Linked DNA regions of Tribolium castaneum. The protein of the gene in region 2 interacts with the protein of the main gene of each other region in a pairwise test. Links are inferred from orthologs where the notes say so. Each region holds a gene or a part of one and is shown on either strand. Other genes may lie near its edges. The genes, in order: Grip75 and Lztr1.

The links.
Region 1: the proteins of Lztr1 (region 2) and Grip75 interact in binary tests that used the Homo sapiens proteins (3 or more experiments, as listed by UniProt). The link is inferred for Tribolium castaneum from reciprocal best matches to the Homo sapiens genes LZTR1 and TUBGCP4.

Annotation. Positions count from the first base shown.
Region 1 is NC_087396.1:21,170,600-21,175,137, forward strand, and holds Grip75 (gamma-tubulin complex component 4), read left to right. Parts: upstream 1-1,564; 5' UTR 1,565-1,702; coding exon 1,703-1,750; intron 1,751-1,797; coding exon 1,798-2,213; intron 2,214-2,260; coding exon 2,261-2,426; intron 2,427-2,473; coding exon 2,474-2,770; intron 2,771-2,887; coding exon 2,888-3,119; intron 3,120-3,164; coding exon 3,165-3,345; intron 3,346-3,397; coding exon 3,398-3,605; intron 3,606-3,658; coding exon 3,659-3,727; intron 3,728-3,778; coding exon 3,779-4,051; 3' UTR 4,052-4,052; coding exon of another isoform or gene 4,053-4,090; 3' UTR 4,091-4,125; downstream 4,126-4,538. Other genes in the region: Su(var)2-10 (E3 SUMO-protein ligase PIAS2), read right to left, coding at 578-719, 771-940, 1,092-1,118; vesicle transport protein USE1, read right to left, coding at 4,053-4,090, 4,139-4,441, 4,488-4,538. UniProt on the Homo sapiens protein: Component of the gamma-tubulin ring complex (gTuRC) which mediates microtubule nucleation.
Region 2 is NC_087402.1:10,246,978-10,251,296, reverse strand, and holds the end of Lztr1 (leucine-zipper-like transcriptional regulator 1), read right to left. Parts: intron 3,880-4,319; coding exon 2,715-3,879; intron 1,238-2,714; coding exon 815-1,237; 3' UTR 763-814; downstream 1-762. Other genes in the region: mRpL49 (large ribosomal subunit protein mL49), read left to right, coding at 179-250, 298-762. UniProt on the Homo sapiens protein: Substrate-specific adapter of a BCR (BTB-CUL3-RBX1) E3 ubiquitin-protein ligase complex that mediates ubiquitination of Ras (K-Ras/KRAS, N-Ras/NRAS and H-Ras/HRAS).

The DNA.
Region 1 (4,538 bases), on a different chromosome or scaffold from region 2:
GACCTTGCGTACGACTTACCTATGCATTTCCGGTCATTGACTCCAAGCCATTAATAAAACAAATAATAACCTAAACACAATTACGAAACATTCCACGAATAAGAAAGTCAGAATAATTGCATTTTCTCAAGAAATTTACAATAAAAACTTGGATCAAATGACCATTCCTAGACAATTTTATCATTCATATCGCATTTATGGCTCAAATACCAAGAGCCTTGAGTCATGTTTACAAATTTTTTATTAAGAAAAAAAGGACCTTCTGAGCAACGATGGGATCAGAAAAGTATTGCCTGCTTAAAGTCGTAACAAAAAGGGCTACAGGCCTCAGAAATGGACTTCTGAACGACCCATTCATCATCTCCCATCTGAACATCAGAAGGATCGTCCATTTCTGAGCCCCTAACCTTGGTCTATGTTCATCGAACCCGTTTCAGGAGTGTGTCGAAACACTTGGCGCCACCTATTTCCCCAAAAAGCAATCACTTACCAGTGGAAAAATTGCTCAATGACAGAAAAAAATGTAGAAAATAATATTTTTTTACGTAAAAAAACTGCTTTAAGTTAAGACACGTACGGATAATTGCCGACTGTCGATGTTGTAGGGGTGCACTGTGGCGGTGGTTCTCGGCACCGTCCCTTGGGGCTGCGGCATATTGTGGTCTTTGCTTCCTGGTGATAATGACGGCGTTGGTACGTTGCTCAAGGAACCCCCTTGCCTGTGAAAAGCGGGTTAGAACCAAGGGGGCGACCGAACGCTGCCAACTCACTGTTGAATACTTTTGTACAAGTCTCTGATTTTCTGATGAATCGGATGCGATCGCACTCTAAGGAGCTCTAAAGCCCTCTGTTGAAGCTCGGTTTTTCTTCCTGACTTATTCCGTCCAGCAAAACCCAATAGCATCTGCAGTTCGGACACCCGAAACGTAATTAGCATATTCTTGAACAAAAACAAAGATCAATTAACGCGCTCAAGGGGGCCCTGGCAACTGAACAATGCAAGAAATTAACGCACGATAAGCTGAAACAATGTGCAACTATCGGCCAATTACACAAACACCAACATGGTTAGGTGGAAAGGGGGCGCTTACCCGCAACTCATCTATGTTTTCTGACATTTCCTGTGGCTGATCCAGTTTGAGATCTCCTCTAACGTCACTTCAACCATTTAAACAAATGAATAACACGGCTTTTTGTCAAACATCAAGTGAGCTAGCGTCCGATCGTCAATTCAAAGCCTACCCAATAGGGCGGTTTCAGGGGGTTAAAAGAACGCCCCACGCACTTCTGGCACACAGATTTGGGCTATTTTTCGTGGCGTCACTTCGAAATGCACGATTTTTGCCAAAATAACAAACCAACAAACGATTTCACATAAGGGACTGCGCGCTGCCAACACTACAGCGCGAAAGCGAAAAGCACCAACACAAAAGTTCAAATCTACGACAAGAGAAAACAATCGCAAATAATTTAGTTACTCCAACTGTTGTTAATTCAAATTGTTATCGTTTCGAAGCAACATTATCAAAACACATTGGACACTTTTGGAAATTTATAGAAAAAAAAATGTTTTGGGTGCCACCACACAAAACTAAATATTTCTAACAATGAAAAATTTGGTGGGCAGGTTGGCAGCAATTTGCTAATTCAAAAATTGATGTTTTGAGGTTAAATAATTTTATTGGTGGTAAAAAAGGCCATAATGATTCACGAGATACTGATTAACTTGTTGCACAATTCGGACGATTCGGTATTTGTGACCGCTTTGTGGAGCCCCCTTGCAATTGTTTGTTCCAGTTGGGCAAACTTGACGAACTCCAGGAGTTCCTGCACCCGGGGGAGAAGCAACTCCTCCACCACATCATGGAAATATCCTCAAACCACAACTGGATCGTCTCATTTTGCAAAAAAATCCAGAACTGTAGTGTTGACCAACACGGTCTCTACATCAAGGCTTTTGTGAACGGTGTGCTTGATGTTTTGGGGGATTACAAGAGCGAAATTGTCAGACTGGAAGATCAGTTCTTGCAAAACCCCGAGCTCCAGTTAATTTTCATTTCAAGTTGCTTGGAAAAGTACCAAGTATTGTTCAATGTGATTATGTCGATTATTCAAGTCGTGGAGAAGGACAGGCTCCATGGGTGCCTCCTTATGGGGCGGCTCCACAAATACATCTACTGTGGCGTGGAACCTATAACCCAAGCTGCGAAAAAGTGAAATCCCACCCTTGAAAAACCACTTAAATGCGGTTTTCTTACAGGATAACTCACTGCTTCAACAGCATTTTTTACCGCCACTTGTGCAACTGGATCATTTACGGCGACTTGGTCGACCTTTATAAAGAGTTTTTCATCAGCGATGGCGAATGCTGGGACGAGGATTTCCTCTACCCTGAGCAAAACGAAGAAAGCACACTGACACGAGTTGTACGTTGAATTTTTTCGCTAACCGTTTTTTTAACAATTTTTTGCAGAAACACCGAATCAAGCGCCCACCACCTGTCCGCAAATTCACAATAGTCTGGTCTATGGTTCCGATGTTTATCACTGAAGATACGGCCGAAAGCATACTTTTCATGGGCCGAATCGTATGGATCGTCAAAAACCACCAGAAAACCAACACAGATAATTACCAAAACCTACACAAGCCTGACGTTTGGGACGGCAAAGATATAGAGTATTACAAGAAAATTCAAGCGCTCGAGACGCAAATTTTCGACCAGATGGAGTTCCAGAGAGTTATAGAGGAGTGCAGAATCAAGTTAACCAAAGTAAGGATTTTTTTCCACGATTTTTGGTAATAAACTCAATTTTTGTGCCAAAAACAGGAAGATTTCGTTAAAAAAAATATAGCTTTCACTGTACTCGTAATAATGTAGAATTTCTAGTACTTGTGGTCCGTTATGGTGGACGAGGGCGACCTAAAGGAACACTTGCAACTTATACGAGATTACTATGCGCTGGGGCGAGGCGAACTTTTCCACCAATTCATCGAAGCGGCGGAAAATCAAACCACTTCGTACAACCTCAACGTGATTTTCCTGGAAACTGCGCGGAAAATCTACGGAGAGAACGACAAGACGTACCTCAGATTCGAATTAGCTAAACTGGAAAAGACAAGTGGGGGAAACACAATTAATGTCCCCAACTAATTGATTATTTCAGGCGTGAACCCGTGGTCGAAATTACAACTCAATTTCGAAATTAGTTGGCCCCTTCATATCATCTTCAACCCAAAATCGATGGAACTGTACAATCAATTATTCTGCTACTTGTTAAGGCTGAGCAGAACTCAGATCCACTTACACAAGTTGTGGCAAGCGCACATGTCCGGGAAACAAAACATGTGTGTATTAATTAAATAATCAATCGGTTATTGTTAATTTTTGCAAATTTAGTGACCGGCGAGTGTGGACTTTACGCCAGCATTTAATTTTCCTAGTCAATAATCTACAATATTACCTCCAAGTGGACGTGATCGAGGCGCAATTTTCGCTACTTTTGAAAGCGATCGAAAACGCCAACGAATTCGAGGAGATCATCAAAGTCCATCACGAGTTCATCAGCAATTTACTCGCGAAAACTTTCATCCTGACCCCTGATAAAGTAAGTCAAGTCGGTTTTGAAATTACTTTGGTTAGACTGAATTAATTTTGCAGAGCCACACTTATCAAAACAAACACCGGTTACACCAAACTCCCGCCGTTCAGTTTAACGTCCCGAGTGAAGTAATAATTGTTGATTAAGTGTTTAATTGAACAATTAATGGTTTGTTAAAGGTTTACAACGTGATAATCCAGCTGCTGGAGCTGTGTGACAATTTCTGCGTCATTGCGTCGACATGGCAACCGCAGTTAACCGAACCGGAAGTAACCGAGTTTGAACAGTTCCAGAAACGCACCGATACCATCGTCGATTCGCTTTTGTTTATTCTGTACAAGTTACATGAACGAGCCGATGGCCAACACTTGGTCCAGTTGTTGCACCAGCTCGACTTTAATCGCTTTTTCACTCGAAACAAACCCGAGTTTAACCTAACGCAAAGAACGTAATTTATTTTTTCTTCATCACTTTCATAAATAACACCATATCTGGAATAAATTAATTAGGAGGCAAAGTTATTTCATTCGGCGACTTACTAATAAAAACAACCACAACCACAAGTAACATGATCCACATCCAGCATTTCCAGGCCCGTTTCGAGTGCTCGGCCAATTTGTTCGATTCCGCGCTCAGTTTGGAATAGTTTTGGTCGGTTAGTTGCGCCGATCGCGACACAACTTCGGTGTCTTTTTTGATAATTTTATTGGCTAGTTCCGACTGTTCTTTCAAGTTTTTGGTCAAGATGAGCATATCGTCGGTGATTTTCTGTTGCATGTTTTCGTGGAAATTCAAAACTTGGTCTAAGTCGCTCGTTTCGGGGCCTTTGCGGTGCCTCACGCCTGCAAGCTTTACTAGTACCATGAACTGTTACAAGGGGCCACAGACCTAGGAGGCTCTCCCGGAGCAATTCGGTGTCGTTTTCAGGGGGGTATTTAC
Region 2 (4,319 bases):
AATTACGAAAGCGCCTAAACACACTTGCACTCGTGCTGGTGTAATCCCCAACCACGTTTTTGCACAATAAATTTCAAAAAATATTTTACCGCGTCGGTACCTTGCGTCCTACATTACCGATACTTTGAGGTTATGTAATTTCGTAATTGTTTACTCGATTAGTGAATTATTATAAAAAATGGCATCGATTCGGACATATTTACAGCGAATTATCACAAAAACCTGCTTCATGCACCCGAGATTATACAACGTGAGTCTAGTTCATTTTTTCTTGAGCATACCTAACCTCACATTTAGTCGCCCCAAATCAGAAACTCCAGCTTCCACTCGAGTAAATTCCTCGTGGACGTCGAGGTTAACACGAAGTATGAAACGACTAAAAACCCCGAAGAATGGAAATACGTTGAGGGACTCCTCCCAGTGACTACAGTCCCAGAACCTAAGAAACTACCAATGTATGCTTCAGGCTGGAAGCCCCAAGGAGACGACCTCAAAGACCGGCCTTACTTCATTGCGAGAACTCGCAACCACATGATGCCCGTGTATTTGGAAATCCGTCAAAGGGGGACCGCTAGACACACTATTATTAAAAAGATTCAGGGCGATATTTGGCAGCTGGAGAAGGACTTGCGCCCCTTTTTGGAGGATTTACTCAAACCGAAGAATCTGCGACTGCAAGTCAACGAATTCGCGGGTAAAATTTGCATAAACGGCGACCACGTAAACGCAATAAAATACTGGTTAGGTGAAAGAAATTTTTAATTAAATAAATTGAGTACATTTGTTTTTTAATTTGGTGCTCAAAAAAATCACATTAAGTACAACCATCGGTGAAGCTCGCCGAGGATGACACGTCCTGGCATTTTGACTCGCTCAAATCATTCGCAAGAGCCATCAAAATATCCAAAATTAATTCTTTACTCAACATTCGTAATCGCGGCAATTTCGCCACTTTAGTAAAGTGGTGGACGATCAAATCAAGAGCGTATTTTTTCATGTCGGTGGCTTGCATACCGTCGGCGGCTTCCAATATCTGTATCACATTCTCAAACGAGACGTTCATTTCTAAATTCTGTTTGCAAAACGCCTGGAGCCTGTTGTTGGTAAAACTGTAGAATAAGGGGGCTGAGAAGAGGTACAGCGAGTCTTCGGGGGGCATGTTCACGTCCCCGCAGTAAACGAACCGGAGGAGGGAGTGGAATGATTGGAGCGACGGAATCATTTCGCCGATTTGAATCTAAAAATAAAAAAATATTGAGGACTAAAACTAGATCCAAAATCACTCAATTTGTTGAAAATATGGAGAATTAAATACTATGGCGCTGAACGAGGTACATAATAAATCGATTTTCAACGGACAAAAATTTTGTAAAAATGAGGCGTTTTAAACATTAAACGGTATCATGATTTGTTTGGAAAAATTCTTAATATGCTGACAAAAACTGGCGATGAAAATTTGCACAACAAACATGAAAATACAATTTTTAATCTGCCCTCCATTTCATACTTATCAAAAGGGTGCCAAAACGGTTAAAAATACACGAAAAATGTAAAAAAGGAACTTGTAGAGAATTAAATTTTCTATAAAATGGTCATGATTTCAATCATTTGCAATTTTATTGCACAACAACTTTAATAAATGCATCAAAATAGAATAAATAGAAAAACGATGTAAATTTAATGGATTTTTGTTTTTTATCGCTCAACTCAACTTCAACTCGCGTTTTTCCACTTCTATAGCGCATATTGCAGAAACTTTAAATTGCAAATACTTGGTAAGTGTTTACAGATTTCTTTTGAAAGGATTCTTGCACCAAAAAGTTATTTGAACTATTAGCTTCATTTCGTTGTGACATTTCGTAAGAATTTAGTTTTTATCTTATTTAAAGTATTTCTTATCGTGAATATTTCGCTACTCAAAGATGATTCGTTACAAGAAAACTGAAATTTCTCAGTTTTCTTTTATCAAGTCTAAAGCTTGTGTAATAGTATACGTTAGAATCTTCATTCACTGAGGAATCACTTGCAAAAAAAATAAGGTTCTAGCTTTATCCAAAAGGATGTAAACACAAAATTTTCTATTCTAAAGTCAATTAACGGTTATCTCTGTAAATGAAGATTTTATGCCTTCCAATTTTTATTTAGAAGTATTCTTGAAAAAATACTTTATTTGATCTTTTTTAACCCTCTAAATCCTCTAAATTTTGATTATTTGACTGGACTACACTATCTGTTTCAATCATTTGAAACAACGTAGATTTATCGAATATAAAGACTAATAATAAATTTATTTGGTACAAAGTCAATGACGGTGGTGTTCGAAGCTGAAAGCGATTTTAATCCATTAGCTGTTTCAAAATTATAGAAATGCCAACGTCGCATTTTCTTCAAAAGTTAGTTGTTTTCAATTATTCATGCACTGCAAAAAATTAATACCTACTGTAATTTGCAGTTTTATTGAGAGATCTAACCATTAATAACTATTTAAAACAATAATTCGGTAAAATGCAACGTTGGCATTTCTATAGTTTTGAAACAGCTAATAAACGGTTGAAGATAGAAATGTTTGAAATTTTTGTAATAAATTTAATTCTCTACAAATTCTTATTCCTTACACCTTTGACCGTATTCGCAACGTTTAACAAAAAAAACGTTTTTCGAGATAAAGATCTATCTGCCTGTATTTTTTTATTTACAAACCGTTAAATTCTTACCTTGACTTTACAATCTGTCGGCATAAAAGACCTGAAAAGCGCCTCAAAATAGCCACTTCTGGCGGCCAAAATGGGTTTATGTGCCGGAATGACGTTCCCATCTAAGACCAAATCTACGTCGTAAAATGAGGCCCCGTGTGTCTTCAAAAACATGGCCATGTCTTGTTCCAAAGTGGTCCCCGCTAACTCTCCCTGACTCTCACTCACACTTTTACTATTACTCGCCGTTTGTTTCAATCTTATTATCTCGATGATGAGTTTACTACTCAAAGATTCGAATTTTGTGGACATCACAATATCGTTGTAGTTTGATTCTTTGACGATGAAACGCAAACAGTGGTCTTTGATAACGTTCAGTTTTAAATTATGCGCAGTCTCAAGGGCTTCCAAAACATTGGCCATGTTAATAGAAGAGTTTAAATACTGGACGCACAAATTGTCCAGACGGACCATTCCGAACTCAACCGCCAATCGATAAACGTCCATCATTCGTAAAACTGTCTCGGTTGCTGCGCCCCCTTTTTTCGTGGGGTCTATACAATCCATGTAAATGTAATCCAAGACTAGTTCAAACGCTTCCGGATTCGCATCTGGAAACTCAATTTCGACCAAAGGAACCTCCTTAAAGGGAACATTAACCGTTCCGAATAATTTCTCCAAGTGACTATCACGTTTCGCTTTATTTTTTTTCAAAATCTGTCTTAAATGCGCCGACCTTGCGGCCACTATCGCCATGTGGCCAAAAATCTTCTTCGAGTCAGGCCCCACTAAAAACTGGACGTCGTAAAACTCATTCGTTGACAACAACTTCCCGAAGTCTTCGTGTAAAGTACATTTGGGGTAACAAGAGAATTGGAATCGGTACATTTCGCCACTGCGCACATTATTATCAATGGTGCCTCCAAAGACAAACATAGCGTCGTCCACAACGGCCGCAGCGTGAAAAAGTCTCCCCGAAGGAACAAAGGACTCAGCCGCTGGTAAAATCGTGGACCACGTCTGAGAGTCCAAATCGAAACAGTGGAGATCATTTGAAAGAGTGCTATCGGCAGCACCCCCAAAGACATACAAATGCCGGTCGAAAGCCACCATCGTGTGGCCGTAGCGCCGGGCAGGGGGCGGCGGGGCCCCCCTCAAAATATGGTCGGTGGTAATCCGAGTCCAGCTACAAGGTTATTTATTACCGGGGGTTGTAATGGGTATTTCAAAATTTACCGCCCGCAAAAAAAAATACCAAAAATACCAAGGCATTACGGTTTTTTATTTCGAGATGTTGTTTCTGTGTTGGCTAGTAATTGCCTTCACTGATATTGAGAAATTTATATAAATAATGTGAGCATATTTTGAGAATAAAACTTTGCTTTGTTTTTCAGTTGTGCGACTTTTTGTACAATTACTATACATTTTTTTTAACTCACAATTCAAATACTTTGTTTGCCACAAAATTAATCTCATATTCACATATTAACATTAGCATTAACACATATTAACATAAACGTATTTATTTAACTATATTTTACAAATCTAGCTCAGTTACATAACAAACATAAAACACATAAAAAATCGGGTTTTTATGAAAAATAATTAGGAACGAATTTGTGTATT